Linked DNA regions of Lepisosteus oculatus. The protein of the gene in region 4 interacts with the protein of the main gene of each other region in a biochemical or structural test. Links are inferred from orthologs where the notes say so. Each region holds a gene or a part of one and is shown on either strand. Other genes may lie near its edges. The genes, in order: cradd, OTU domain-containing protein 1, tnfaip3 and ripk1l.

Region 1 (7,666 bases), on a different chromosome or scaffold from region 4:
CCTGATACACCCACCTGCAGAGTCACCTGTCAGCCCCTGTGTTGACAGTACAATCCTATAGTGCCTGACAGGAGAGTCACACTAATTCTATCAAGTAGAGTAGTAGTGATCTGTGGACTGTGGTGCATCTCTTAGTCAGGGGCAAGACCCAAGAATCCCTGTTTGCCGGAAATGCGAGAAAGCACTTCAAGAATTCACCCAACCCTAAACCTGGCAGTGCCCTGCTCATCATATGCTGCTGCTTAGGGAATAGTGACACGAACTACATTCAGACGAGAAATTTTGGCATCATGGTGTCCAACCAGGCATAGTGCGTTTTGTTTTAAATACACTCAATGATAACGACACGCCTACATTTAAGTATGATCACAAAATCTGACATGCAAAAAATGCGAGATCATTAAGATAGAATATCTTTTGTCTCTAAGAACGGACCGAAAACATGAACCGGAAAAGAATAGTCGAACTAAAAAAGTTATTTTTAAAGATAGTACACTACTTTGGAAGTGTAATAAAGTATACGTACATTTCTCTGCTTCTTGGACATGCATGTCATGAAGGGATCCAAATTTAAGCTAAAGCACCCACTTATTCAATCTTCTTTTAGGGGGCCGTTCTCTGAGCCCCCATTAATTTACTTGTTATTTTTTTTTAAATACCATTTGTTATTTATAGAAGTATTCCCTTTATAAAAAGGGTGTTACAGGGGTCAGGGGTAAGCGAGATCATGCTGCCAACACCTGGTCAATGTATACTGCAGTTCTTTGTTTAACAAGGACAGCACTCAAAGGATTGTGACTGCCCTACTTTTTTCTTCCAGAACTCTGACCTAATTTATACAAAAATCTGTGCGCGCAAGACCCTGAATCCTTTCGGTCACACAACCCCAAGCTCCACTTCCTCCCTTAAAACGTAATGGCTGTTGCCAGCGGTAGTGGGAGCCAGCTGTTTACGTTTTTCTCAGTCCTTTTCGATCAATGGGACAGTGCCATTTAGGTTATGGCCAAACAAACAAAACCACTGCTGAAGAGCAGCCCGTTCCATGGTTGGCACCGAAACTTGTTTACTGGAAATGGCATGAATCACCACTGACAGGACACAAACAAAAGCGTTCCCCTGTCGAGGAACTATCAAGGACACCACCACTCTAGATCACTGTTCCAATTCAACAACAAAATATATTAATGATACATCTACACACAGCTCTACTAAAAGCAGTCAGACGTTAGATAAAACTCCTTGTTAAACTTTTTAAGTTCCTGAATAAATTCAATATGATCAGAAAGTTAATTGCCTACGGTGTCACGAGTCCTGTATAATTAGGAAATATGTATTAACTTAAATAAAAACCTGTCAATTTTGTAAACTATACGCATAAAAGGGGTATTTAAAATAGTACACAAGGAATTTAAGTTCCCCAGTGTTTACTAAAAAATGTCCTAATTTAATTAAGATATTGGGTTATTGTACAAAGACAATGAGCAATACATCTTGTTGTAGTAATTGCGGTAATCATAACCTTGAACTCTGGATTTTTAAAATGTCTAAGAATACGTTAGCATCAACCGAGTTCAGTTAAATCCGCAATTTTGTTAAGACATCCCTACAGAAGGAACCGAGTTGCATCGCCAAAACCTGCCGCACGACAATGTGCAAAAGTGCAGATCATCTCAGCGAGAGAATCGACGGATGTTCAGTTCCGTCATTTAAAAGGAATGTGGTTTTGTACCAGGAACGAAAGCAAAGAGGGAAAAAAGGACATTTAAAATGATAAAACAAATTAAAGACAAAATATAAATATGAAAACAAAAATGAAACAATCATATCGAAGAAAACTGGTTTTGACAGCTTTGAAATATATTTGGTATACATCGGCGATGCTTTTTTATGGCCTTGGAACGTATTCATTTCAACTGACCTCTGAACAGATTAACGGAATCTTTTTTGCAACGTTGATTAAATAAAGGGTAATGATTTAAGAAGGTGGTGATGTAAGACAGCTACAAAAGTTGCACCGTTGGACTACTGCTCTGCAACGAAACACATCCGCCCACTATTGATCGAGTATTTTGCTTTTGCTTGTACGTCGGTCTGTTTACCACACATATAACTAAGAAGACTTCACATACGCGTTAATGTGGAGTTTAAATCATGGCACTAGTCTTACCTGTTGAATTTACTTCACTAGTCGCATTCTCTAAATCCTGGAGCAATTTCTCTCTCACCCACGGAAACTCTTCCTTCAGAGACTCCAGAAATGTTTCAAACGCCCTTGGTCCTCTGGTGGGGAGAATCTCCAGCAATGCGAGTGTTTTCTGTTTGTTTGTTATCCGGGATCTTATTTCCTCCACATGGCTTTCTGTTAAAATATTTTCTTGATACAAGTATTGAACTATGGTGGTGTCAATTAATACGAGCTGATTAGAAAGCTCCAATCTGTGCTCTCGAAGAAATTGTTTATGCCTGCGATCCATTCAAGACGTTTATCCGAAAACAAGTCACTATTTCAGGAGTATATCGATGTTTTTAGGCGGCGCTAATTTTCTGTCTACCGCCGTTTTCAAATAAAAACTGGAAGTTTATTTTTTAGTTATCAGTAAGCGCCTACAGTGCCAGTTTCTTCCAAGCACGCCAACTACAATACTTGATTACATCCTCAAAACAAACTTCCAGGTAAAGAAAGCACAAACGGTATGCTTTTATTATGAATTATGAAAAACACGTGACGATATTAAATTCTGAGATTGCCTAATTATCCTTAGGTAAAAATGAATGACAGTGCGTTTGTTCTCCTTACACCACAATACTCTCAACTTTTGTATACAAAAACCCTAGCGTAACAGTTAAATTCCTCCCTACTGAAACTTACACTGATCGGTGAGATTTCTGTACTCATTTTTTAAAAATATTTGAAAACATGTTTCAGTAGAGACCACTTCTTAAGCCACAAAGAGCTATACAGTATATTACATTTCTAAAACTAATTTAAAAATAAGGGCAACCTGTTGTACACTTTTTCGAACGTATTCGTTTAGCTTTTGAGTAAGCATTATTATGACCTTCGGTGATAGTAGCTTCTCTACACTTAGGAAATTTCGAGCTGTTCTGATTTGTCAAACTGCATTTTCGTGTGCAAATAGTATCAGATCATAATGTGTGATTGATATAACATGAGTAGAAAATATGCATCATTTGCAGGTTACAGTAGCAAGCTTATTGTTCCGTCTTTAAAATGTCCAGTGTATTCTTTCTTGTTCAACTGCGTGGGTTAATTACTTTGTGTACTTGTTCTTACAAGTCTTTGTTTTTAAAAATATTTCGTGCGTTGCTGCTTTAAAGAAAGTTTGGGTTTTGTTCTGCGGCAGCCTTGAGCTTTTACAGAGTTTGACAGATCAGGCGGGAAACACATGACGAGGTCTCTGATGGGACCACAATCACTGCTATAAATTTCCACTCTTTAATTGTATTACCGAAGCCCGTTTATTTATAGGCTTCTGAGTAGCTCGGTGACGGGACGAGAAGCTGGTGGGAGCGTATCAGAGTGGGCTCAATATAATAGGTATTAGGCACACACCTGTATCACCTTTTGTATTTTCCTTTTTGATTTTGTCTGATAAAATAGTCTATGCATTGATGCATCTCTTACACCCAGAAACCGCATTACCTTACAGTATATGTCTGTAAATGTAAAAAAGCTGATGTCACATTTAATCATGTCTCACTTTTATCTTACCTGTGGGAAAGACAGATATCAAAGGCATATGAGATACATTGTTGAGTAACCTGGTGGGAGGGTACAGTATGTAATATGATCTGGCTTAGTAGATTTGCCAACCTTTAAAGAACTTGTTACAGATCTGGATTTGCAAGTTAGAAACTTGAGAGTTGTTTTCCTGAAAGGCCTCCAGTGATTTATTGAAGTCTTACAGTGGAAAACAGTCATTCTGATATTTTGGTAAAGAATGCTTTAATTCCCTCTGTGCCTTGAAGTCAGATTTGGTAGTTTTAGAAAAGTAGCCTGAAAAAATCCCATTACAGGGAAACATTTACTAATTCAGGGGGAAATAAAAGCATCTTGGTGAATCTGACAAGTATAACAATCATTTTACACAAGCACCTACAAATACAGACCAATCAAGTCATTTCCATGCAATGTGTCGACAACCTAAACAATATTTTTTAATATGTTTTTGTTACAATACATAAAGCACTGTACAATAATACATGTATCAACCTTGCAAGATAGTACAACATTACAGTAAATAGATCCAATAAAATTATATCCTAAAAGATAAAATAGAAAAATAGGTATTTAAATTAGATTTAAAACAGTTCACAGTTGCAGACTCTGTAATGGATCTGGGCAATAAGTTTCACAATTATGGTAGTGCACATGTGCAGGCTCTCTCACACATTATGTTTACTGGTCTTATGTAAAAAAGACACCTGAATTAGAAGATCTCAGATTAAGAACTGAAATATTCTCAGGCAACATATACTGTACTTTAAATAACCTGGAGTTAGACTGCTAAGTGTCATATGCATAATATGGATAACCTTGAAATCCATTCTAAATTTCAAAGGAAGTGAACAGCTGTGTAGCTCAGGCAGACTAGTTTTATTTAGCACTTAAACCAATGAGCTCTGGATGTACTAAAACTTATTTAGTATCTTAGTTAATACTCCAGTAAGAATCACAATACTGTTTTCTCATCTTGATGGAATAAGGTTTTGTAAAATTCCAGTTTCAGATAGAGCAAAGACATTAACCAGGCAATGTATGCAAACTGAGTTTTTCTTGAGATGTTTATAACATGAGCTTCAAATGACAACATAGGGTCAAAAATAAAACAAAAGTTCAATGAAGGATTTAATTTTAGGATTGTGTACAACTGTGGTTGTTTTTGTTCTTCAGAGTCAATAATAAAATAATTATTATTCCTAAATAATAATTGCTTACACTTATATAGCACTTTTCTTGATACTCCACTCAAAGAGCTTTACAGGTAATAGGGACTCCCCTCCACCACCACCAGTGTGCAGCCCACACCTGGATGATGCGACGGCAGCCATAGTGTGCCAGTACACTCACCACACACCAGCTATCAGTGGGGAGGAGAACAGAGTGATGAAGCAAATGCATAGATGGGGATTATAAGGAGACCATGAATGGTAAATAAACATGACATATAAACATAAATACAAAATTATAAACATAACAATAAACATAATGTATTGTTAGAAATGTCCAAATCACTGTTTAGTTTAAGAAAGTTGTATTGTGTGTTAAACACAATAGTTTAGCTTAAGAAAGTTGCGTAACTTAATATCCGACAGACGAGTATAAAATACAGAAACTGGAGTAGTAGCATCTAATTTAGGAGGAAAATAAATTTGACTATCATGAGTATTATAGTGAAACCCTAGTTCATGATGATGAATAATCTAGCCAAGACATAACCTATGTAAAATAAACAGGAACAGATTAGAGATGGAAATGTTTGGATCATCCAGAATAACATGGACATTAACAGATTTAGAACAGCAAAGGTTTATGAATTGACTCTTGGAGCCAAACCCATGAAGGGGAGTATAAATAATCCCTAAATCATTTTCCATACAATGAAATGGAATGATTGATAACATCAAAACCTACACTTAATTCCAGAAGCAGAAAAATAGTGGTCCAAAGTGAGAATCCATCGGCAACTCCTGAACTACAGTATCTTAACAAGGGCAGTTTGCGGTACTGTATCATTGTCTAAAGTGCAGCTGGAGAGGGTCAAACAACTCACTAAATACAAGATAAAATTGTAATTGTGCTGCAACCACCTGTTTAAGACTATGAGATTTTTTGCAATTTTGGCTTCAGACCAGTTTTCTTCGACACAGTTACTGTCTGATAGCAGGAAGCCTGAAACCTGGTCTTGTACTTGAAGGATTAAAGGTTAAGGATGAGGTTAGTAACCAATGGATAAAGTGGAGAGAATCTAGATTTGAGTAGCTATGTACTGTAGGAACAGTGGCCCAAGGTAGAAGGTCTCAGTTTAGATACAATACCTTCTCAGTCACATGAGACCTACATAAGTAGAAGCAAAAACAGTAAAATGAGATAAGCCCAAACCTGTGAGAGCATTGATTATTAATATTGTGTATTTCATTGTGAAAAATTGCTTTAAAGTATTACGTTGTTCAGTCGGTGTGTAAAAACCAGACATATTAAATTGTAAATTTTAATGAGGTTACAAATAGGAATGTGGGCTTACCATGACCTTTCTCAGTAAGACTTGGAAAGAAAAAGGATCTAGCAGCCTTCAGAGCAAACGTATAGCACAGCTGATGTTGTTCATCAGTCTAAAATGATTTGGTTGGTGCCGCATTTCACTTAGAACAAATCACCTTAAAGATCAATACAATACTCTTGTAATCAGAGCCTCTTAATATAATGGTTGGGGTTTGCAGAAAGCTAATCTTTTGAAGTCGCTTACCATAGAGAGTTTAGGAATAGAGACCATATATGCAGACATTTTGGGAAATTAGCATAGACAGCCCACACACATCCCTTGGGTGAATAGTGGTGACAATGTGATCAAACAGGAACAACATTGCAGCTCTAAGTATTATTATAAACAAACCTGCAACCAGAGACACTTGTGTTGGATATAGACTTTGCAAAATTCCAAGGGTACAAGAGTGGTAAGAACATAAAAGCAAAAGACGCGTTGACAACAACAGGAGGCCATGCAGATTAGATCTCTTATTAAAATCCTTTGCTCTAGACTGGAGAACCTTAGCTCCATTTAAGCTGTCATTCATACCGTTCTTCTATGAGCTCTTTCTAAGATTATATTTTATTTTGTGGAATTGTGTACCAATCTTTTACATTCCACTGTTTAGAAAGGCAGTCATGGATGTTTAGAAAGGAACAGTGTCCTGTATATGATCAGAAGCTCTGTCACCTTGAGACAGGTGAAGAGACTGTGATTATTAGTCAAAAGACAAAATTACAGTGAAAGTGTCGAAAACATATCAGTGCTGCTGAACAGCCAGTCCAAGTTATACATAGTATCCACTACAGCCATCTTGAGTTGGCCGCCATCTGACCAATAAGAAGACGACACCCTACGCTGTCCACAACAGCAGTGCACACCTCAGCAGCAGCAGCAGTCTCTGACAGCAGACAGCGGGTGTTAATTGTTTTTAGTCTTCACGGCCACCTATCCATTTGTAAAACACATTCATTACAAGGCTTATATACTTGCTCTTTTCTCACTGATCAGAAATAATATATTGCTGTTTCCCAACTTTTTGTAGGGTGCAGTAAGGCATGACGGTGCAGTAATTAGCAGTACTGTCTTGCAGCTTTGGGGCCCTGGGTTCAGTTCTGGACTTGGGGTGAATTTTGTATGTTTTCCCTGATGCGAGTGTACATCTGTCTCTGTCTGTGTGTACCCTGCAATGGACTGTTCTTCTGCTTGTTGCTTGCTGGGATAGGCTCTGACTCCCCCATGACCCTGTACTGGATAAGTTAATAAAGCGGTTAATGAATTGCAGTGAAAGTTCCCCTTGCCGGGTATTAAAAGCTTTCTGCTACAGAATGAGTTTAATGCTTGAACAATACCTTTTGTTTTTTATACATAGTTTATTTCCCCACATTTCCTACAGT
Region 2 (7,382 bases), about 50 Mb from region 4:
GTCATGCTACTCGTTTTAAAGCACTGCTCAATAATTATGGAAGCACTTTCTTTTACTGAAGCAGGCAATGGCAGTGTCAGTAGTCATTGTTTTGTTGCATCACCAGTACAGACAAGTGAGCCAGTTACACTGCTGGTGTTAAGTGGTGTTGGCAGACCAACAGGTGACACTGTCTCAAGAAACTTTAGGATTAAACACATGATTGCAAATTCAAGGAAAGTCAATTTACCAGTTTCAGACACATAAATAAAACAAAACTTTAACTACACAACTATAATTGACTGCATGAGTCAGTACTCTGAAGAAAATTAAAAATCGCGTAGGCAGGGGCAGAAGAAAACTTAATTCTGAATGTTAATTTTCTCTGCTTGAAAGAAAAAGAGTAGTTATTGTTTTGATGCATCATCAATACAGAGAAGTCAGCCAGTTCCAGAAGCAGCCACGCTGACTTCAATGGCAGTGGAACAGACTACTTCCTTGATCAAGTGACAAATCTGCAGCACCAGTCGTCACAAACAACAAAACCTCAAATTATTATTTTAAGGAAACAAATACGCTATTAACAAACACCATTAGCAACCCAGACACATTGGTGAACCTTTAAATATACTTTTTAAAGTGCACATGACTTTAAATTGCACATGGTGTGGTCTTTCCACAACCTTTGAAGATTGATAACAATATCCTGTTTAATGGACTAAGGGGCACTAGTCATGTAGTAATAATACACGACATTGAAAGATTTTGTTTTAGGATGTGAACTAAATTAGACTGTTTGAAGTACGCCTCATCCATTTCCCCTAACCACATTCTTACATGTCCTTGCAAACATTTTGCTTGCTAGACTACAAGAAAATGTCTTAATAATCATTACTTTACCCTTTTGGTCTCAGCAGTGACGAGCACAGTTTTACCTCGAGTAAAGTACAGGTGACTTCTGACAGCTCCTTCACTCTTGGCAGTTCAATGACATCGGTCTGTGTGGAGGCGTCTCTTCCAAAGTAACCGTATCTCAGTTGATTTCCCAATGAGTACCTTTAAACGCGTGTTGTTAATGAAAAAATAAATACATTAATGTGACAGTTAACACATCTTACAATGTTTGGTGTTTGGAGTAGTGGTCAGGGGAGGGTCAGTGGTCCAGCTCGTAACTGGAAGGTTGACATCCCATTTGACACACTGGTGTTGGACCGAGATATTTCACCTGAGACTCTCCAGCAGAATATCCAGTTATAATAATTATTATAATAATAATAATAATTTCTTACACTTATATAGCGCTTTTCTGGACACTCAAAGCGCTTTACAGGTAATGGGGATCCCCTCCACCACCACCAGTGTGCAGCTCCACCTGGATGATGCGACGGCAGCCATAGTGCGCCAGAACGCTCCCCACACACCAGCTCTCAGTGGGGAGGAGAGCAGAGTGATGAAGTCAATTCATAGATGGGGATTATTAGGAGGCCATGATTAGTAAGGGCCAATGGGAAACTTGCCAGGACACCGGGGTAACGCCCCTACTCTTTTCGAGAAACACCCTGGAATTTTTAAAGACCACAGAGAGTCAGGACCTCGGTTTTACGTCTCATCCGAACGATGGTGCCTGTTTACAGTATAGTGTCCCCATCACTGGGGCATTAGGACCCACATGGACCACAGGGTGAGCACCCCCTGCTGGCCCCACTAACACCTCTTCCAGCAGCAGCCTTAGTTTTTCCCAGGAGGTCTCCCATCCAGGTACTGACCAGGCTCACACCTGCTGAGCTTCAGTGGGCTGCCAGGTGTAAGTTGCAGGGTGATATCTACAACTATCCTACAAAGTTAAAGCCTACACGTTATAAACCTGATGCGATATGTAACCTATCACAGCTATGATACTTGTAGTGCATGGAACAAAAAAATAATCATTTGTATTGCATGTAGGTTTAATATTATTTAAAATATTCTGTTATTAATGTAAAAACCAAATAAAAAATAATCTGAACTGAACCCGAAGGCACAACATCACTTTGCGAGGCGGTAGGGGGGGGTTGTTTTTATTTTAACCCGACTGCCGGCAGAAATAGCGCGGACAACAGAAAAAAAAAGACTGAAACCCATCAAAACCCATTCAGTACCAAAGATTTATACCTCTCGATATCCCGAAGTTCTGAGGAATACAGTCTCTCCTCCTGCTCCTCGGAGTTTCCCTGCACAAGCACGTCCATGTTACCGGCGTGATCGACACGGGGGCGCCGCTTGCGTCGGTTTCCATAGCGACGGATCTCGCCCGCTCGGCGGTCAAGACCCGGATAGAGTTGAAGGAAGCGATGGGCACGGACAGTTTGCCTTATTTCCTTCAGGATTATTATCGGTATAAACACAAGTTTCAAGCTGCTGTTTGTAAAAAAAAACCCCACACCGTCATGTAGTCAGATCAGATCGCTGTACGCTGACCATTTACGTTTGTGCAAAGCCGGTGGTGTTAAGGGAGGAAAGGCGCAGTGTGCTCTTTGACACACTTTCTCATTCGGGCTCCCATTTGGGACTGAAACGGAAAAACCTCTGAGAATAAATGCTTATTTGAAATGCATTAAGGAATAAGGAATACAAATGAACGCGTAAAAAGTTATATAAAAAATAATAAAAACCGTAACATCACTATACTGTACTTGATAGGGATCCCTATGAATAAAAGGGATTTCAGAAATGGGGCAGTCTAGTCAAAAGTGCTAGAAGGTTGTTTGAATAATTCAGTAATAATGAAGCATTTACAATAGGGAATAAAAACCCATCCTTCACAATACAAATGGTATAATATACTCTATTGTTCAGCAGAACTGTGGTGACAGTTTTAAAATGTTTTCTACTTCTGCGCTGCTTCCTTTGTCTAACGAACTCCTGTGAATTTAGAGCATTTTCATAATTAAAATGATAACAACGATTCGACTGACAAAGTGGGTGAAGTTGCTGGCGTTGTTACCTCACAGCCCAGGGCTGCCTGGGGTGCAGTTTGTGGGGAGTCTGTATGTTCTGCCTGTGTGGGTTTTCGCCGGGCGCTCCGTTTTCCTCCCACACTCATGGGGGAACTCGACCCTGCTGTGGGTGTGTGTGTATCTGTGTTTGTGTGTGTGTGCCCTGCAATCGGCTGGCCCAGGCACTGGCGTCACGCCCAGGGTGTTTTATCGCCTTGCGCCCTTTGCTTGCTGAGATCCTAAATTGGATGGAAACGTTAGCAAATTGATGGGTGGACTTAACGAGGTCTTCCCAAAATCCAGCGTGACACCAGTCTTTATTTTGCAAATGCAAAATGAAGCATACTGACTGCAGATGGGCAAGGCATACAGTACCATCCAGCCGACAAGCGCAAGGCTATGGTTTTCGGAAAGTGTTTTACATCACTTGGTACATTCGAAACAAAAAAAAAAGGAAAACTGTCAACATAAAGAACTGCAAAGGGCTGTGTTATAAGGCAATACAGGACCGCACTGTAGTCCTTAGTTTGATCATGACGTGAGCAGATGCTGAATGTCTTCCCTCTGAGACACCCATGAGAAATAATGCGTCACATCCCGTCGCCCATCATCTTCTATAGACGTGTGGATGCACATGCCGTTCAGAGCGAAGATGGCCCATCGGTGACGGCAGTGTCTTTTAAAGCGCGGCTTTAGCCAAAAGGTTGTGGAAACACTACGCGCATTACTATGGCCATGCTCACTACTTCACAAGGGGGGAACGCCCACCCCCGTCAGCGTGGGATATTTTGCCAAAAGGCTGGTGTCAGTCTCTGCGCGCTTCCCCTCCGTGAAGCCCGCAAGCCGGCGTAAATAAAAATAAAAAATAAAAGCCAATAAGATCGCGGTAGAGGCGGAACTTCCTGATTTCCTCCCCCCCCAACACCACCTCCCTTGAGGTCAGCGCAGTGTGTTTAGTAACTTACGCGTAATGGTTTTCCGTCAGTGCTGGCGAGGGTCTGGCATTCCAGCGCACTGACGCCACAGGCTTTAGGGGGGTAAACAGAGCTCCAGCCGAGCGCAGTCCCCAAAGTGTCCCGTGACACATCAAATAGTTCCCATTCCAGCTGCACAGTCAGCAGCCGGGGCAGGCGCCCGGGGGGACTCTGTTATAAGAGGATATGAAGAGAGCCGGGGTCCGGTTACATTGTTCCGGGCTATAATTAGCGGAGCTCAGCGCTGACGCAAGATGGCTAAAGTTGGATCTTCTGTGTGTGACAGCGGGAATTAGGATCAGGAGCGCCGCAGGAATAACTTCACGGCCCGGACTGCGATGAGTGATGACACTGGCTATTTTTGAGCGGCGGGATCATCGCGTGTGGCTACCTGGGACCTCGGCGTTTCATATATAAAGGGTGCGCGGTTGGGAAAAAAATGCAGCTCTACAGCAGCGCGTTGACACATTACCCCGGGTCGTCCTGCAAAGTTTCGATTCCCATTGCAAATATTGACGGTAACGCGCCAGCGACTGCGACTGCAAACACCGTTGCCGCGAGTAACGCTGATTATCAAATTCCTGCACACGGAGTGGAGGAGACGGGGGCTACGACTGCGCCTGCCGCGAAGATGCCTGCCTTTTCCTGTTATGAACCAGTTCCCAGCTCGGCGAGCAAGCCGAGCTACTACACTTCCACCGCTCAGATCCTGGTTACCAAGCCCGGTGGGGTGGAGAGGTTCGTGCCAGTCCAGATTATGAAGGACTCCCGACGTGGCGCAGTAGACCTCTCCGGAACATACTTCGCTAGTCCGGCAAGCTCGCCGGTTCTGGACGCGAAGGGCTCCTGCTCGCCCAGCGCCCTGTGGCTGGGGGACTTAATCGACACGATGAACGGCGAACTGGGCGCGCTGGACGAATACCAGAAGGTCCTGGAGCACAACATGATCAGCTTCGACAGGAAAGCGGACGGAAAGCGTTTCACGAAGGGCAGCGCCCTGAGTGGTCTGGACCACGAGTGGCACCAGAGCGCCTGCTCTCCGGGCGAGGGTCCCCACGACGCCGAGGCGCCCGACACGCTTTTGAACGACAGGGTGTCAAACGCCTGCGAGGATTTGGCGTCTCCAGAAGCTCGGCTTGTTGGCCGGCGTTGCCAGGAGAGCACGGAGCCCGCTGGCACAGACCTTGCCGGGGAAGCGCCAGGCGACAGCCTCCTTCAGCCCTCCGCCCCCGGCGTGGGGGGCAGCCGAGGTGAGAAGAACGAGCAGGTGGCACACTATCTCGCCGAGGTGGAGAAGCAGAACAAGTATCTCCAGGAGAGGGAAAAGTACAGGTTCCACGTCATACCCGACGGGAACTGCCTGTACAGGGCTGTGAGCAAAGCAGTGTACGGCAACCAGTCGGCGCACAAAGAGCTGCGGGAGCAGACGATGCACCACATCGCGGATCACCTGGACGAGTTCTGCCCCATCATCGAAGGCGACGTGGGCGAGTTCTTGATCAACGCCGCCCAGGACGGCGCCTGGGCTGGGTATCCGGAGCTGCTCGCCATGGGCCAGATGCTGAACATCAACATCCACCTCACTACCGGGGGCAGCGTGGAGAGCCCCACCGTGTCCACCATGGTCCACTACCTGGGCGACGAGGACCCCTCTAGGCCGAGCATCTGGCTAAGCTGGCTCAGCAACGGACACTACGACGCCTTATTTGACCGGCCCCTACCCAACCCGGAGTACGAGAGCTGGAGCAGGCAGGCGCAGGTCCAGAGGAAACGGGACGAAGAACTGGCCAAGTCTATGGCGGCGTCTCTGTCCAAAATGTACATCGAGCAGAATGGATCTACGTGACCTGCTCTTAGGGTTCCGAGATGGCGTACCGTACAATTGTGCGTTCTGTCCGAAACCGAAATGTATGTTTCTGAAATAGGGCACCTTAATCACAGTTTGATGGCACTTTAAAACGCATGCAACATGCCGTACAGAAATTGCCTTAATTTATTTTTTTCTAAACCGAATGTTTTTAATGCATTCACGTGGAGCTACTGAAGGTTGCGGTGCACCTGCGTGTTGTATAGATTTTTTTATCATTATTTTTGTATGGAAGTGCTGAATTTATATCCACAGGTCGGATTCCTTACGTTGTGCGTAGAGGTCGCAAAGAAAGAAGTTTACATTACTGTGTTACTAGTACCAGTCCAACTAGAGATAAAGCACAGGACTGAAGTTTGGGAAGAGAAAGAACAGTTTTTTGACAACTTATTTTTCAGGTGTGCGAAATTATATATGTGTACATTTATAAACTTTATACACTTAACCGCTGATTGGTAATTGCGTAATGAGTCTATTTAATTGCCTTTTTGTGTTTTGCTGGGTCGAACACTTGTTTTGCTGCAAGATCATTCTATTCCAGGCTGTTTGCTTGTCTTGAAAGCGCGGTATTTTGTATCGAAGATCTGAATCTTATTTTTTTAAATACTATTTTTTTTCTAAGTAGATTGCTGGATCGGAGACGTACCATTGTAAGACTGAAAGTTTTGTTTCGTGGTTGCATTATCATTTTGAAGTAAAGGTTTAATTTTTCTGGACGATTTAAGGTGTTTCGTTTTTACTATTTGTGCTGTTCATTTTGGGAGGATCGGTTTGTGATGTATTATTTTTAATGATAATAATGGCGGTAGGAGCACTTTCGACACCACCAACGTGAAAGCTGACAGGAATAATGCCAAGGTCATTACAATGTTGTGAAATATTACGAATGAGGTAAAACCAACTATTCCCACACAAGAGAAAATTCCAAATCTTCCACTTACTGATAAATGTCGGTATTGCCAAATATCAGGCTGTGTGGACAAAGCCTACTGTTTTCCAGACGTTGACTTTTATCAGTACTATGTTTTAGTTTTAAAATAGTTATGCATTGCATTTATCAATGAGTGATTATATTGCACCCTGACCTGAATATTGTAACGCAACGGGGGCTCAGGCGGGCGCCCTTGCCGCATCTGGTCGGCCCAAAGTATAGGTGGCTCGAACCCGGGACTTCCGCGTCTCTCTGCAGCGACCCAGCCCCGTGAGCTAAAGAGAGATCTCTCCACAGCCCAGTCGCTGTAGTCCTGCTATCACAGGGAAGGGCGGTGACGTCACCCGCTCTGGTACGCCGGCTCTTACACACAGTGCTTGTCGGCCGTAAGCATTACAATATGAAATCTAAGAACAACCAGCACAAGTTGGTTACCTGTTTTTCTTCTTGCTTTTTTGGTATCATAAAATGAAATTATAATAATAATAACAATAGTTGCTTACACTTATATAGCGCTTTTCTGGACACTCCACTCAAAGCGCTTTACAGGTAATGGGGATCCCCTCCACCACCACCAATGTGCAGCATCCACCTTATTGGAGCCCCCCCTAATTTAACTTCACTTCTATGTTGTGTAGGAGAGAAGGAATGTTCTA
Region 3 (7,232 bases), on a different chromosome or scaffold from region 4:
GCAATCGGTTCTGAACTAGTGACAGCAGGCACCAGAAAGTGTGCCGCACGATGTGCACGCGTGGAAACGCACTGATCTACATGATCCTATAAGGGTTATATATAAAAATGCAATTGTAGCAATCTTCCCTTACAGCCCGGTTCACAGACCACGTCTTTCATAAAACGCACTCGTGTCTGGGGTTTAACTGCAGACTGAAGTTTGTGAACAGAACTGGCGTTATCGCTCCGGTGCGTTTAAAAAAATCAGACAAACATTCACATATATGGATAAGAACTGTGCCGGACTGACAACACTTAACACCATTAACACAAGTAACCGCGACCAAGAGCGCAGTTTCAACGGCAACGAACGAATGAACTGGAACAGAATATTTTAAAAGCTACCAAAACTTACCTTTACAATGTATCTAGGACAGACAAAACTCCTCGATGCTGTACTGTACAAAAAGGTAACCCTGAACCCCAAGCTCTAGACTGTATAACCCACAGTCCCAAACGCCATTAAACCTTCATATCCCTTGGGTAGTATGATTGCTTCTTGGTTCAGGCTCCACTCACTCAGGCTAGAGACTTGTCAACTAAACAAGAAAAAAAAACGACCTCTAGATAAGTTAGAGACTTTTTTTTTTCACATGGAAAAGCCCGGGTGGGGATTTCCAGTATGAGGGACTTTCCACTTAAGCTTGCACAATTTTAGAGGTACTAAAATACGCTCATCGAACGCTAGGGGGAGAAAGAGACAGACACTCTGGAAAGCTGGTCTGTTGTCATAAAGAAACCTTACATAAGGACACGATCAGACCATTCATAGACCAACGCATGATCTCAGATCTTGAAGTCCCTGCTCATTTTTAAGGGAATGTTATGACCTAAAGTATCGCCCAGCGGTAAAGAAAAACACATTATTCTTAATAGTATAAACTGCATGCGTAATGTATCTGTAAAGGAAAAAACCCCACTAATGGTGTCTTTTCCCTTTGAAAGTTTGATGTTTTATAAAAAAGTCAAATATTTTAGCACCCTGATATTCTAGGCATTAAAAGACCGCTTGCTTTGTAAAGCACAAAAACAAAATGACATTTTCCCGGCAAAAGTGTTCCTATCCATCCAACGGTCTTCCTTAAAACAGAAGTCAAGCAACATTTGTATATTCAGAAGGGTAATACGTACAAACTGTATATTTCACTTTTACTTCGGGTGAGCGTGTACGAATTTGGCAGCAGTGAAAGGTAACGAAAAAGACAGCTGATCACACACGCATACTGTACTATTAGATCAGTATCAGCAACTTGTTCTGCTCCTTTAGAAGCGGGGGAGGGCATCAGAAGGCAGAACCCACAAGCCCTCAGGACATCACTCAATCTGTCTCCTCCCAGACGCGACTCCTACTGGCTGGCTAGTCACCAGGATTCTGCCAGGCGGATTCAGACATCCTTGTAAATACCCGAGCTTTAAAAAAAAAAATCCAGTAGGCCTCCACACTCTGGCGTAAATACCAGAAAAAAAACACACTGCGTTTTTGGGGAGATCTGGAGTTGTATTTCTGTCTTGCTGCACCAGAGTGGCGAGCATGCGCTTCTGCAGTGTGGTGCTTTCAGGAGTTAGGCTGAGGGAAATTATTTTATGATCTGTACAGAAAGGGACGTCCCAGACTGAAGATGAAATGTGTCAGGGTCTTTCAGACTCTGCGGGGGATGAGTGTTACTCCACAGCCCCCATCTGAAGGAGAAGCTTGAAGTCAATAAAGTGCCAGTGAACTTCCTCCAGTTTTTGAAAACAGCCAGGCCCCCTGTTCTCTCTTTCGGGTTCAGCTTCAGTCTTCTTCAATGCCTGGAGGGCTCACTGAGCTCCTCCTAGCAGATGGTCACTTGATCTCCGAGGAGTGATGATCAGAGGAAAAGCACCTTGTGGACAGAGGCCCTTGTGCCTGCTGTGAGTGTTGATGAACTCATCTCCAGCCACTTTCACACCTCACACAGGATATTGTGTAACACAGAGAGAATCCTTATCTCCCTTTTGGGTTTGCATTCTAATAGCTAGACTTGAACATAAGAAAACAATGAGAATAGGCCATAAGGCATGTCTAGTTCTTTAGTATCTAATTGATCTGAATTGATCTAATTGATTTAATGATCTGAGAATCTCAATCCACCATTTTTTTACAGAAGCCAGGACATCAAGATTCAACAAAAGAGCTAATAGACATCTTGTTCCAGACCCTCACCACCCTTAGTGTAAAGAACGGCATTCTTTCCTCAGTTTTAAAAGTACTTTCCCTTTCTCCTGTGGGTTTGGGGTTGTGTTTTTCTGGCAGAAATAATGCCATGATTTAAGGGACTGCCAGGGGGAGAATTCTGCTTTGTTCTTGATTTGTGGAAAGTTTCTATAAAAAGAAGATTTCAGTCAGGCAGAAGCTTACACAACAAAACAACAAAACAACTTTTTTTTTTCCATGAAATGATCATTTTAATTTTAAAACAAATTCTATTCCGAGAGAGAAAAAATCAGCAACCTGTTCGCCGAGGTAAAGTGTCTCTGTAGGAGCTGTGTGGCAGTTTCTTTCTGTTGCAATGTGACATAACCAGGGGTGTGACTGTTTAAAACGCGATCTTTCAACACAGGCAGGTTCAGGCCAACAAAACACACAAAAACACCCAGCTGTAACGTTTAAAGGCCCGAGTTGCAATTTATTTTACGAGGCGGGGAAACGCCTAACACCATCACCTAAAAACAAAAGCAAAACAGTCTCAGCTCTTCATCGAGCTTCTGCTTAAAATTCTTCATGAAGCCCCCGTCTAATATAAGCCGAGCAGCTACACTGCTGACCGGCCACTAACACAGAAAATTCTCAAACACGGTCCCTCCAACACTCTACACAAAATTTCCAAAAATCCACAAAATTCGGTTTCGTTTCCCTGAACTCACAAAGTCGCTCTGCTCCCTGCTCGGTCCTTCCGCTGGCGAGACGTACAGTACGCGCAGGGGCTGTCCTGGAGCAGCAGACAGCCACGCCCACAGACAGCCTCCGAGAGCTTCCTGTTCCTGTTTTGTAGTCACCTGCCTTCCTGCGGCTGGTCAGGTGACTGTGCGAGCAGCCCCTTCCCCAGAGGGGTCTGCGGAATGTGGTCCCTGCTGGGGCGGTGCTCTTACAACGTGTTTCATCCCAAGACCGTAGCCAGGCAACAATGAAGCCTGAACTCAGTCCCTTCGGGTGTTTATTGGTGTCCCTGCAGAGGAACAGGAGCTGTGCTGCCTCAGGCTCAACATCACAAATCAATGTAAAGTGGGACATGTTAATATTGCACGTACATGTATCCACCATTGCAGTATTACTACTTAACCACACCATGGAAAGTATTGCTGGGATCTGTTAATTTAGCCTTCACCAAAGGTTATGCTAAGATACAATAAAGCTGGCTTGCTTGAGCAACTTGCGCTGCATAACAAAGCATAACAAAATGCAGGACCAACAGCCATAAACGTACCATAAACAGGATAAAGCAGATCAATGCCTGCTGGATATCAAAGGACAGGACAAAGTAGTTCAACATAAACTATTTATTAAAGGACAGGTCTGTTTTGCACTGCAGACCCAACGATTGTGTTGCTGTCCTTATTGTGGAAGACCGAGTCAGAAAGTCAAGACAGTGACTATGCGTGGGAAAGGTTTTCTGTTCGCACCTAAGACCACTGTCTTAGGTGCAAACTAAAGCCTGTGATTCCTCACACCCATTCAACCAGAGAGAAGTGAAACAGACTGCAGGATGCCAAATGCCATCTTCCTGTCCTGGTTGTTTGACTTCTGACACTGCCCCTTTCCCTGTATGTTCCTTTGATATGTTAAAGTCTTGCCTACTTTTAATGTATAAAAAGGAAAGTATAACTTCAGTAAAGTGAGCATGTCTTGAGTGCTAGGGGGAACCCTTTCTCTGTGATATGCTCCCCTTCAGCTGATTGTATTAAAGATCTGTGTTTGACAATCTCCTAACCTGAGTGAAGACTGAGTTTTCTTCGACATTATTGAGCTCTAAAAAACTGAATCTGCACTGGACTGCGTCCTGCTCCTTTGATGAACATCCTGCTCCTTTGATGAACAATTTCCCACAACAACTTCGTAATCAAGGGTTGCTCACAGCTGTCCAACGGGAGTTCAGCAATGATTCACTGGGTGTGGGGGGCGTGGGCTCTCCCAACACCCTGGGTGGGCCTGGATGCTTGGACACACCCCCACACGCAGTGTGCGCAGGGAGGCATGCCGTTGCCCTGAGCCGACTCCTGCTGCGCTGCTGGGACAGGGTCAGGAAGTCATCGGAAACGCGGGATAAAAAAAAACAGACGGATTTCTGAATGATGACTAATGTACTGAATAATGTTCTTCTCCCCTAGACCAATGGCTGTGTAACATCAAGAAAGTTTTGTATACTCCCACTTCTGCAAAGTGTCCAAGCAATCTAAATGGGCTCTTCTCCTTTGTAACCTATCTTATAATCAAAGCCAGATCCACACTTACATCAGCCAATTACAGTGACTCCAGACCTCAGCTACCACACAGGAGGTGTTAGTTTCCCTGGATTCTGGAAATAAATTAATATCTGGCTGCAAACAGTACATCTGTAGTGCATCTATTTGACTGGCTTTGTGAGTGGAAAGTGTTGCATACCTGCTTACAAAACATTGTGAAAGGTGGAAGGAATTGTGGTGAGAAGTTAGGGCAGGGACTTCAAAGGTACAGGCTGACTGAAACTTCCCTTGTCACGTTGCTATCGCATCAGTATTGTTCCATTTTCATTTTAAAGTTAGACAAAGCAAGGTGGTGACAGGAAATGAAGATTCTGGGCTTTGAACTATTTATTCCTCTGAGCAACACTAAGCGAATAGTTCAGTCTTTGTCATGAAAGTCAACAAAAAGGAAATAATGTTAAATTACAATTGTGTGCTGTCCCTGTATCTCCCTTATAAAATGTATTTTTGTTTTTGCTTATAATATGCATAGGCATTTTCATCAGATAGGAAAAATTCCATCAAATTGAAAAACATTTGTCTTGTTTGACATCTTTATCTTGCATATTTTATAGATAAACATTGACTGAATATCCACCTCAGGGGCTACAACATAATCATGGTTCATGAATGATTAATGAATAAAATTGACATTTAAAAGGGTTGTAAAGATTTTTGTGTCTACAAAAAACAAATATGTCTAAGATATAAAATTCACAATGCTTGTCATAAGATCTTGTAACTCCACATATGGCCTTGTCTGCACACATCTCTCAACCTTGCAGATGAGGTCTGGAATCTGCAGTCTTCTTTCAATGCCAAAAATGTTCAGCTTCCTTGAATGCCCTTGAATGTATCTGGTGTTGCTCTTCAATGGACTGATTACAGACTGGATTGCAGCTCCAGACTCAACCAAACAGTCTTTGATTTAAATTCTCCACTTTTAACACTTGAACGTATCCTAGTGTTTTGCTTGCTGTTTCTACAGCTTCCCCACATTGTCAAGAGAAGATGCAAATTATGTGTCAACATAAATACCTCAGTCTTTGTCATAAGAAGCCCCTTCAGCTCAGTATTTCTCACTTTATGTTTGTAGTTTATGTTTCTGCTTCCTGCTTTTAATACCCTATACTTCTCTGTGTTAAATGTCTTGTGCCAGGTGTCTGACCAGTCTTGAATGTCATCTTTTTGCATGTCAGTTGTTGCTCCTGTAGTATTTGCCTATAGTAGTCACTTACCCACCAATACAATAGCCACTATATGCAGTAGTAGTTCAGGTGGGGAGCTGCGTCAGCATGCGTAGGCTGCAAAGGAACAAGTAATAGGTTTATTCCATGCTGGAAAAAAAGAAGAAAGAAAACACAACGTTTCGGCTGTGGTGCCTTCTTCAGGTGTTAGGGTATGCAGTAAATATGCAGTATGAGTGCACGATACCCATGTGCTGAAGATTTCTTCAGTCAGTAGAGGTCAGTGTACTTGTCAGTGACATTAGTGTGCCTTTCAACAGAATGGGTGCTGTAAGAGTATTTTACTGTTGAAAGAGCAGCAGAAGTAGGGCCCACAAACTGACTTTCTTCATTTCTTCAAACAAACCAGAACCCAATGGCACAAAAAGCACAGCACCTACTCCAGAGAAGCCTCAGCACCTCAGGCATTGCAAAGCGCTGTTCTGGGGATTTCCTGCAGCTGCCTGCCTGCCTGCAATTCAGCCTCGTACACTGAATGGCAGGGACTTTGACACAACTGTCCCCGGCATTCTGATTCACAGGTAGAGTGGAGTTTGAGTTTTTAAAGGAAGTGAAAGAAGACAGAAAACATTAATGACAGGGAGGAAAAGTAAATTATGTGAATAAAAACGTACGTTATTCCTGGGTTTCTCAAGGTGAGACACTGAACTCGTTTATGCACCTATGCTGTTATCTAAGGCATATCTAAAGGGATGTGGTGATGCTATCTTAAGCCATTGTGAGATGTAGTATGCAATCACACTTAGACGCAGCTATTAGAAGGTACTATCAACTCTATTTCCTCTTTCTCTGTGGTTTCTTCTGTTCCCCTTATCATTGCATCACCGTCCTGCTTTTACTGCTTCTGAATAGAGAAACCATTTCCTTGGGGGCTCTCTGCAGTGCTGATTGCTCCCTTTCTTGCACCGTATTTGAATGTCAGGGATTTCCCTTCCCGCTAATTCATTCTCTAAATAATTCAAGCTGAACACTATCCATGAGAGATCCAGGACAAACCAGCAGCCATATCACCCTGCAACTCCCAGCTGGCACCCCACTGAAGCTCAGCTGGTGTGAGCCTGGTTAGTACCTGGATGGGAGACCTCCTGGGGAAAACTAAGGTTGGTGCTGGAAGAGGTGTTAGTGGGGCCAGCAGGGGGTGCTCACCCTGCGGTCCATGTGGGTCCTCATGCCCCAGTATAGTGACGGGGACACTATACTGTAAACAGGCACCGTCCTTCGGATGAGACATAAAACCGAGGTCCTGACTCTCTGTGGTCATTAAAAATCCTGGGGTGTTTCTCGAAAAGAGTAGGGGTGTAACCCTGGTGTCCTGGCCAAAGTTCCCATTATCCCTTACCAATCATGGCCTCCTAATAATTCCCATCTCTGAACTGGCTTCATTACTCTGCTCTCCTCCCCACTGAGAGCTGATGTGTGGTGAGAGTACTGGCGCACTATGGCTGCCGTCGCATCATCCAGGTGGGGCTGCACATTGGTGGTG
Region 4 (7,885 bases):
TTTTTAAAATTGCCATCTACTTTTGCAAAATCTTGCAATCTTGCTTAGAGTGCAGTTTCAATCCATTTCAATCAGAGCAAAGCCATTGGTTTCACATTTTAACTGTTACAATAGCTATCCAGGTGGGGCCTGCAAGCTTTTTTATTGGTCAAAACTGAAGCCCTGCACCCAGCTGACAATACACAGACGACACCCTACTGACACGGGGAACTGCATTTCAGATTTTGGCATTCAAAGTTTTGAACCCCAAAAATGTAAGCGTCCACCTCAGTGCAAGCTAAAGGTATCTTGTTATCCTAAGAAAACAAGATGTTGTTCTATTCCGATTCGTCCATCATCCTGGCCAGCTTCTCCAACACCAGTGAAAGAGGTCCACAGAGAATAACAGATCCTGAACAGCCACCTTTAAAACACTGCCGAGTCTGACTTACTCATTGCGTGGTGGCCCGGTGTAAACTGTTTTCAAGACCACCAGAGCATGGCTCTGATGGTAGCACAGGAAGACTTGGCCGAAGCCGCCATAGTCCAGGGGTTCCTTCTTGATGAGGTCCGTGGAGCTCATACGGATGGACTCCAGAGCCATGGCTCCGCTCTCCAGAAGCTGCTCTACAGACAGCCTGCGGAGAAACAACGTGGCAGAGGCCTCAGTACGACAGTAACACGGTGTAACGTGCAACAGCCTAGTACACAACGCAGTTACAGTACACGTGTCTGCTTTTGCCCTCAATTCCAAGTGCTTCGCGCCCTCCTGTCACCACACAGCAATCACAATGCTACCCACGTAACCTTCCCAATTCGATCCCTCCAGGCTTCGCCGAGCACTCGGAAGAACCGTCTGAACAGTTCTTTCTTCATGCTCATGCAAGCTTTCCAATACGTTTAGCTTCAGCTGAAATCGATGACTTGCCACATACCATATAGCTGCCAGCCAAGCCAGGACAAACACACAACTGGCTACAGCAAATCAGATGGGCTGAGCAAGAATACCTGGGAGGTTGCGAATGTACGTCTGCAAATTTGCCATGTGTGAATTGTCTCAATGAAAGACATACTGCTCCTTTGAAAATGGGAGGTGCGCTCTTCATACTTTGGTATGCGTGATCGGGTTCAGTTTTTTCGTTTCTGGGTTACACAACCTCCCCCTTAGGTCTTAATTAATCTTATTAGTTATGAAATAGAATCTAAAAGTCGTTAATCTTGTTAAAATGTCCCTCCTTTGCTATGACGTACAACTGCAAAAATAAGGGCACTATGCGCTATCCATGGTAAAACCACACTATTTAAGAAAACATTAAATTTGTTAAATACAGTTTGGAAACGAAACATACGTACGTATGGGAGATATTTGTAATCGAGTATTTGTTCTTAACTTTTGTCTATTTCTAATATTCCTTTGCAAGAGGAAAAACTTTTTGCGTATTCGCAGAGAACAAACCAGGAAAGTTTGACGAAGCAGAAAAGTGCCTACAACCTATAGAAAAGGCTGTGAATATTCACATAATAATATCGGCATTATTAAGTATATTTTACCTTTAAAAAGACTAGCATATTTAGAAAGCGTTAAATACCGGACAGGTATTCAAAACCAATACTACTGTCAAACCAGTCGATACATCTATCGTTGACACGTCCAGTTCACAAAATGCCCAGCCTACAGATGAGACAAAACCGTTCCTACATCCCCCGGAAAAAGACATCATTATTATTAGCGTTTTATTTGAAACGGAATACCTTAGTTCCTACATCATACAAAAAGGGTTAAAAGCAAAACTATTTTTCTTTACAAAAAAAAAAAACTCTTACTCTGCAGAGGACGATTAATCGGAAAAAGACCATTTACGAGAGTTTCACTTACTTTTACGCATTCCCCCGTCGTTTAAAGCACCTTTTCAGACTTCCTGTTCAATATTCGGGTCTGGGATCAGACAAAACGAAACCCAAGAGCAAGAGGGAAAACCCACTGGTGTCGATTCCTCAGACACTAACAATCGACACCGAGCAACCGATCTCCACTCTCTTTTGCATGACCCAGCAATACTGAAGCGTCCTACAGAGCCCGAACAATAGACTGGCAAACTGAGGGTTTGAGGAAGAACTGTACTTTAAAGATGGATAAGATTACAGCAGGAAAATACAGCTCTGTTTCCGCGATGATCAGAGAGTCCACTGTTTATACTCCATCTCCCAGCATAATCACCGAATTAAAAGTATCTGTTTGGATATGATGTCGGTTTACCTATTTTTTAGCCTTTTAATAGTACTGATACTAATAACGACAGCGACAAAGCACTAATAAACCTCATGAGTGCCGGTAAAATAGAGGATATATAAGCGTAGAAGTATACAGGTATGCATGTATATAATATAAAGGTAACCAAGAATATGTAAAGTAACACAAAAAGAAAATAAATAATAACTTATGGAGGCAGATGTGATATTGGCTGTGTGTGTGTGAAGATGTCGTGCAAAACGGTTCCACGCTCCCGGCAAACACGCGTGGGTGGAGCTGGAGGCAAGGTCCAATTCCGTGTCTGAGATCGAGAGGGGTTGAAAGCACAAACCTTTTTTTTTCTGTAACAAGAACCAGCTGTTTTAAGGCCATCCTGCTTTGGAAGGAATACAATTTAATAGGTAAAGTTATTTAAGGTTGTGTCAAGGACCGGTCAGCATTGCGAAACACGGCGCTAAACCTACCGCCTGGCTACAATGTGTCCGGGGCTGGCAGCCAGGTGTGAGACAGACCACCCCACGGCCGCAGGGCGGCGCCCTTCCTTTGTCGAGCGGACCAGAGCGCAGTCCACGTCCACGCTGTCACAACAAGCTCTCAGGAACGGGAGGCGAGACGTGAAAATCGATCAAATAAAATTCCTGAGAAGACTGCGGCGCCGAGACTGTATGAGCCGTCTGAGTTTAACTAATGACGTTTCCCGGAGACCTCAGAAAGGGGCTGGGAAAAATGTATAGCCCTTCGCAAGTTCCCTGGATTGCCCGAGACGGTGTTTAATATGCTTATATTAATATACTTTAATAATTATAATAAACTGATATGTTGAGAAAGTAGGGGTATACTGTTAACTGAATGGTGCATTCCCAGCGAATAAACAATAAACAGTCTGAGAATATTGATGGTTTGCTTCTTCTCCTTGCGCCTGCTGCGGAGGGTGGGAGAGCTGTATTTTGATGAAAAACTGAATGGAACTGCAGGCTCGCCCTTTTTTCCCACCCAAGATCCGTGGTGTGACGGTAAAAAGGTGTGAAAAAGAGTGTTTTCTCTTCACCGATGTCTACGGTTTCAAAAAGGAAGCAGTGAATCGCGATTCTGAAGCTTTTCAGAGCTCGCTGGCGCACAGCCCTCCAAAATGTGGAGTCTCTGTTCTGGGAGAAAACATCTCGGCCGCACACTGTACTGTACGTGACCACGGCTAACCAACAGCCGTCACCACACCTGTCTTTTTCAAATATACTGTATATAAAAAGCACGAACTTATGTCAACAATACAGATTAATTTATGTATTCATATTCACAACATCTCATGTATTCATATTCATAGCATTTAGAAAATTAGTATTCTAATATTCAGTATAAATATTAGAGTTTAAGATATTCTTATTAGACCTGTATACTGTAGCAGTCTGGAATTCACCGTTATTTTTGTTTTGTCTTGTGTAGTCATGGTTATAGTGCGACATGCTGTTTTATCTTCTTGTATTATTCTCTTGATGTTTTTACCAAGATTACATTTTGGAAGATTGTGTGGATTTAAAAAAAAGACATCCACGAAGGACTTTGTAAGGAAGGGAGCTGGGGAACACCGATTTGTTTTTGTCGCGCAGGGTTCGGCCGAAAGTGTCCTACAAAGCCCGAACAATAATAGACTGGTACAGTGAGGGTTTGAGGAAGAATTTGTACTTTAATGTTTGATAAGATTACAGCAAGAAAAAAAAATCAGTTGAGTAGAAATGGGCAACTCCATTTCCTCGATGGGCGGAGAGTCCACTGTTTACACACTCCATCTCTGAGAAGAATTAACGAAATAAACTTTAATTATTAAAGTATCTGTTTGGACATGATCACCTTTTTGTAGCCTTTTAAGAGTTGCCATTCAAAAAGCTGAGCGAATACCTTTTGACGAACAAAATAAGATTTACTAATACAAAAAACTTCAAGAATAAGCACAATTTTACAAAGAGGGACTTATACAAATAACTATTCAAGAAAAGGTACACTTACAAAGAGGAATGCCAAAGCAGTAAAAAAGAATCTTCGTTGGTAAAACGCAGTTTGAATTTTGAGGAGGGAATACACTTGTTTGATTTATAGCACCACCTAGTGAATTCGGCTCCAAACGCTATTCAGATAACTACACTTCTGAAGTTGTCATTCTTTCCAAAACAAATTCTGATTAAAATACAAAATAACAGCAAGAAATGGGTGAACGTTTAGCTGAAGAAGACAGCTGAAGGAAATATCTGTTTTTTTTAAGGTATCTAACTGAAAAGTTATGGATCACACACCGTATTGCAATATTTTTTTTTAACTGAGACTTAATGTTATGTATCATGCCACGAACTGCTTCTATTGACATTTGTATTGTGTATTTGGTTACTATCTTCTAGCTGGCTTTGAGCAGATCTGGTCAGATAAAGCTAGGCACACTGATCCTGCTCAGTACTGGTGTGGGGAGTCTCCAGGGTGATCAAGCAGGTGTTACCCTTGACCAGAATACCCAAACGCGACACCTTAGCCTGTTGATTGGGGGAACAGTGCTACAGGTCGTAGCATTGTAAACGTGGGTTTTAACGAAGACGACGAGGTCCAGCAAGAGGTATAGGCAGACGTTCATACAGCCAAGACACCAGCAGCAAAGCAAGGCTGTTGGGTCTTACGCCATACTGCTTTCTCCCGCCTTACCGGAACAGGAATGACGCACAACAGCCTTACTACGCATGACATGACGCATGTCACGTAAAAACACTATAACTAAATTAAACAAAACACATGGCTAACTATGTTTACTACCTGTTACAACTAACTACATATCAGTATTATTATTTGGCTTCATCACTCTATTCTCCTCCCCACTGATAGCTGGTGTGTGGGGAGCGTACTGGCGCACTATGGCTGCCGTCGCATCATCCCCGTTACCTGTAAAGAATTTTGAGTGGAGTGTCCAGAAAAGCATTATATAAGTGTAAGGGATTATTATTATTGAAAAGTTCATTCAAACTCCCTGGATCTGTAAGAGTAGAATGTCCTGAGGATGAGGACTTTCATCTTACACAATCAGACCTACCTGAACTGAAATATTGCTTAATTGAAAGATTGCTGGCGCACAACGGCTGCCATGCTTTTTCTAGGAGTGTGATTCACGTCAGATCTGGGTGACGCGGCTGTACCCCTACAAGAAAAGTCTTTAAGGAATGGATTATTTATGGAGCAGAATCGTTAGATGCTGCTTATTAAATCAGTTTTATTGTTCCTGTTAATGATTCTAGTTTTATATTCTGTATTCAGAATATAGTGTACCCGAATACCTGTTTTTCATCTTCCAAACGAATTATTGGCACTGTCGCCCTCTTGTGGCTAAGATTCTTAAGTTCACAAAAAAGACGTGGACGTACTGGATCTGAAAATAATTATTTCTACATACATGTCATCAAAGCTTATTTCTCTGACAATACAAATGAAGGTCTGCATATAAAAATACTACAGAAAATCTAACATATTTATACATTTCTGCTTATTTAAAAGGGGGTTTGGTGCAACTTTCCCTACGAACACCCTTTGGGCTGTTTACCCGGACCACGCCCCCTCGAGCACCTTCGCCACGCCCCCCTGTTAGTCTACCAGCCCTGTTCCTCGTCTCCTCCCCGTGTCTGTTCGCTCCCTTCCGGGTTGGGCTGTCTGCATAGTGTCCTGAAAGACGCTATGCGACACTTAGATCGCAAAAAAAAACCAAAACAAACCTGCAACAAGAGCAAATGTCATCTTGTTTGCAATTTTTCTTAAGTTGTTATGTTCTAAACTTTTCTGTAGGGGTGTCGTCGTTTAGTTTTTAACTATTTTTTGACAGCTGTTGTAGTGATGCCATCAGAGCAGTTTAATTTGCATCAGAGCAATTGAAATTTTCTGTGTATAGTATTCCAAATGCTCTTTATATGAAACGCTGTGGTACCATGAGGTACTGTACATGATAGATGCAATATATTTGTATTACAATACACCAGGAAGACGTTCTCCAGTCGCAGAAGGATTGTTTCCAGAGGATTATGCTTTCCAGGGTTCAGCAACAATTTTAATACCTGGATGATAAAGAAACTTCGATGCATGTAGTATACATATAACTGACACAGTACATATAACGTGTTTGCACAGTTCTTTTCAGAGGAAATTCGAGAGTTAAAATGATTGGAAACGGAAGATGCAGCAGTCAGGTGTGAGAATATGAGTTAATCTCTGTCCCCACTGTTACACTCCTTTGAGGTTTACAGCCATTTCTTTATCAGGGCGTTGTTTCCTTTCTAGAAAACAGTTAAAAACATTAATGAAAATAAAAATGAAAAGTCACCATCAGCAATACCTTGTTTATCTAACGTCTTTTCATCATTCAAAACTTTAGTTTCAAAATGCACTGTGTGGCCATTAATATAAATAACGGCCGTGCTTTCGGCACACCTGCTGCCTTTGCACTGCTTTCCAATGTTTTCCATTTCTTCTTCCACAGAGTTGTTCATGACAGTGAGCTGCAGAATTATGCAAGTCTTCCAGGGCCAGGCAGAATGGTAGGTGATATCAGGTGATGCCGTGATTTTTCCACTGCTCTCTTATGCCGCGGAATATAATTAACGAAGGCCTCCAGTTTCACCTGTCCACTTTGAACAAACGTGACTGTCGTAACCGTCCCTCCTGCATTGTTGTTTTCACTAGCAGTGGGATACCCCCACCCTCCACACAGAGACACCCACGTTAGAAAACAAGTCTGTTTTCCTCGGCGCGGGGCACCTCATTCTTCCATATCCTCCGCCACACCAACCCCTTTTTGCATCTCAGAACCATTTCCTCAATGTACAGCTGCAGCAGTCTCATGCCCCCCCCGCCTCCCTACCATTTCCTGTCGGACGCCCACAGCGCTGCGCAGAGCATCTCGAAAATCCCCTATATCTCGTCCCGTTCATGATTCAGCACGCTCCGCGCCGTATGAAGGAGCATTCTGGGGTTTTCCTGTTAACTTTTCGTGACCTTCTTCGGTGCCAAAGAGCTGCGGACTGGCGATTGCGTCAATCCAGACCACACTGTTTATGTTGTCGTTCTCTTTGTGATTTATCGCAGCGGTTTTTCTGAAACCGTGAAGAGCAAAATTTAGATACCTGGAAATTAAATGGGGCCCAAAAATCTGATCAAAACGCTTTTTCTTATTGAGTCTTGTAATCAAACAATTACATGGAACTTGAGATTGGTATTTATGTTTTGAATAAGTAGAATATATCGCCTTTTTATGTCCAATAACAAATAGAATCATGCCCACTAAAGCTTTTGATTCATGTAGTCTTTTTCTAAATTTTGCGTCTTGTGTTGAGTGTACAGTTCAGAAGACCCCATAGCCCACTCAAATCTGAATGCTCCGCATGTTGACTGTGCAGGAATTATGTCATGCGTCTGAAATATTCTCACTTCTCCCTTCACAGATTCAGTGACTTTGCTAATTCTAAACTTGTCTGAGATACAAGAAAGGGGTGGCAGGTACACAAACATCTCACTGATTTCTCTGAGCTTTTTAAAGGGATACCTGGGGTGAACTGATGCAGGCTGTATGGAGACGTCTGATCCATGCCGTGAATGAATAGTGATGGTCCTGTAACTCAGTGATTCAGCATTATATAGAAT

The links.
Region 1: the proteins of ripk1l (region 4) and cradd form a complex in vitro, tested with the Homo sapiens proteins (2 studies listed by BioGRID). The link is inferred for Lepisosteus oculatus from reciprocal best matches to the Homo sapiens genes RIPK1 and CRADD.
Region 2: of the proteins of ripk1l (region 4) and OTU domain-containing protein 1, one has a biochemical effect on the other in vitro, tested with the Homo sapiens proteins (2 studies listed by BioGRID). The link is inferred for Lepisosteus oculatus from reciprocal best matches to the Homo sapiens genes RIPK1 and OTUD1.
Region 3: of the proteins of ripk1l (region 4) and tnfaip3, one has a biochemical effect on the other in vitro, tested with the Homo sapiens proteins (2 studies listed by BioGRID). The link is inferred for Lepisosteus oculatus from reciprocal best matches to the Homo sapiens genes RIPK1 and TNFAIP3.

The regions. Positions count from the first base shown.
Region 1 is NC_090702.1:40,870,740-40,878,405, reverse strand, and holds the start of cradd (death domain-containing protein CRADD), read right to left. Parts: upstream 3,019-7,666; 5' UTR 2,475-3,018; coding exon 2,168-2,474; intron 1-2,167. UniProt on the Homo sapiens protein: Adapter protein that associates with PIDD1 and the caspase CASP2 to form the PIDDosome, a complex that activates CASP2 and triggers apoptosis.
Region 2 is NC_090701.1:54,988,280-54,995,661, reverse strand, and holds the start of OTU domain-containing protein 1, read left to right. Parts: upstream 1-4,367; coding exon 4,368-5,774; 3' UTR 5,775-7,382. Other genes in the region: c6h10orf67 (uncharacterized protein C10orf67 homolog, mitochondrial), read right to left, coding at 915-1,035, 2,131-2,376, 3,920-4,041. UniProt on the Homo sapiens protein: Deubiquitinating enzyme that specifically hydrolyzes 'Lys-63'-linked polyubiquitin to monoubiquitin.
Region 3 is NC_090712.1:1,532,776-1,540,007, forward strand, and holds the start of tnfaip3 (tumor necrosis factor alpha-induced protein 3), read right to left. Parts: upstream 3,010-7,232; 5' UTR 2,928-3,009; intron 2,386-2,927; 5' UTR 1,173-2,385; exon of another isoform or gene 397-1,172; intron 1-396. UniProt on the Homo sapiens protein: Ubiquitin-editing enzyme that contains both ubiquitin ligase and deubiquitinase activities.
Region 4 is NC_090701.1:4,748,224-4,756,108, forward strand, and holds the start of ripk1l (receptor-interacting serine/threonine-protein kinase 1), read right to left. Parts: upstream 3,004-7,885; 5' UTR 2,695-3,003; intron 2,188-2,694; exon of another isoform or gene 1,856-2,187; intron 618-1,855; 5' UTR 584-617; coding exon 432-583; intron 1-431. UniProt on the Homo sapiens protein: Serine-threonine kinase which is a key regulator of TNF-mediated apoptosis, necroptosis and inflammatory pathways.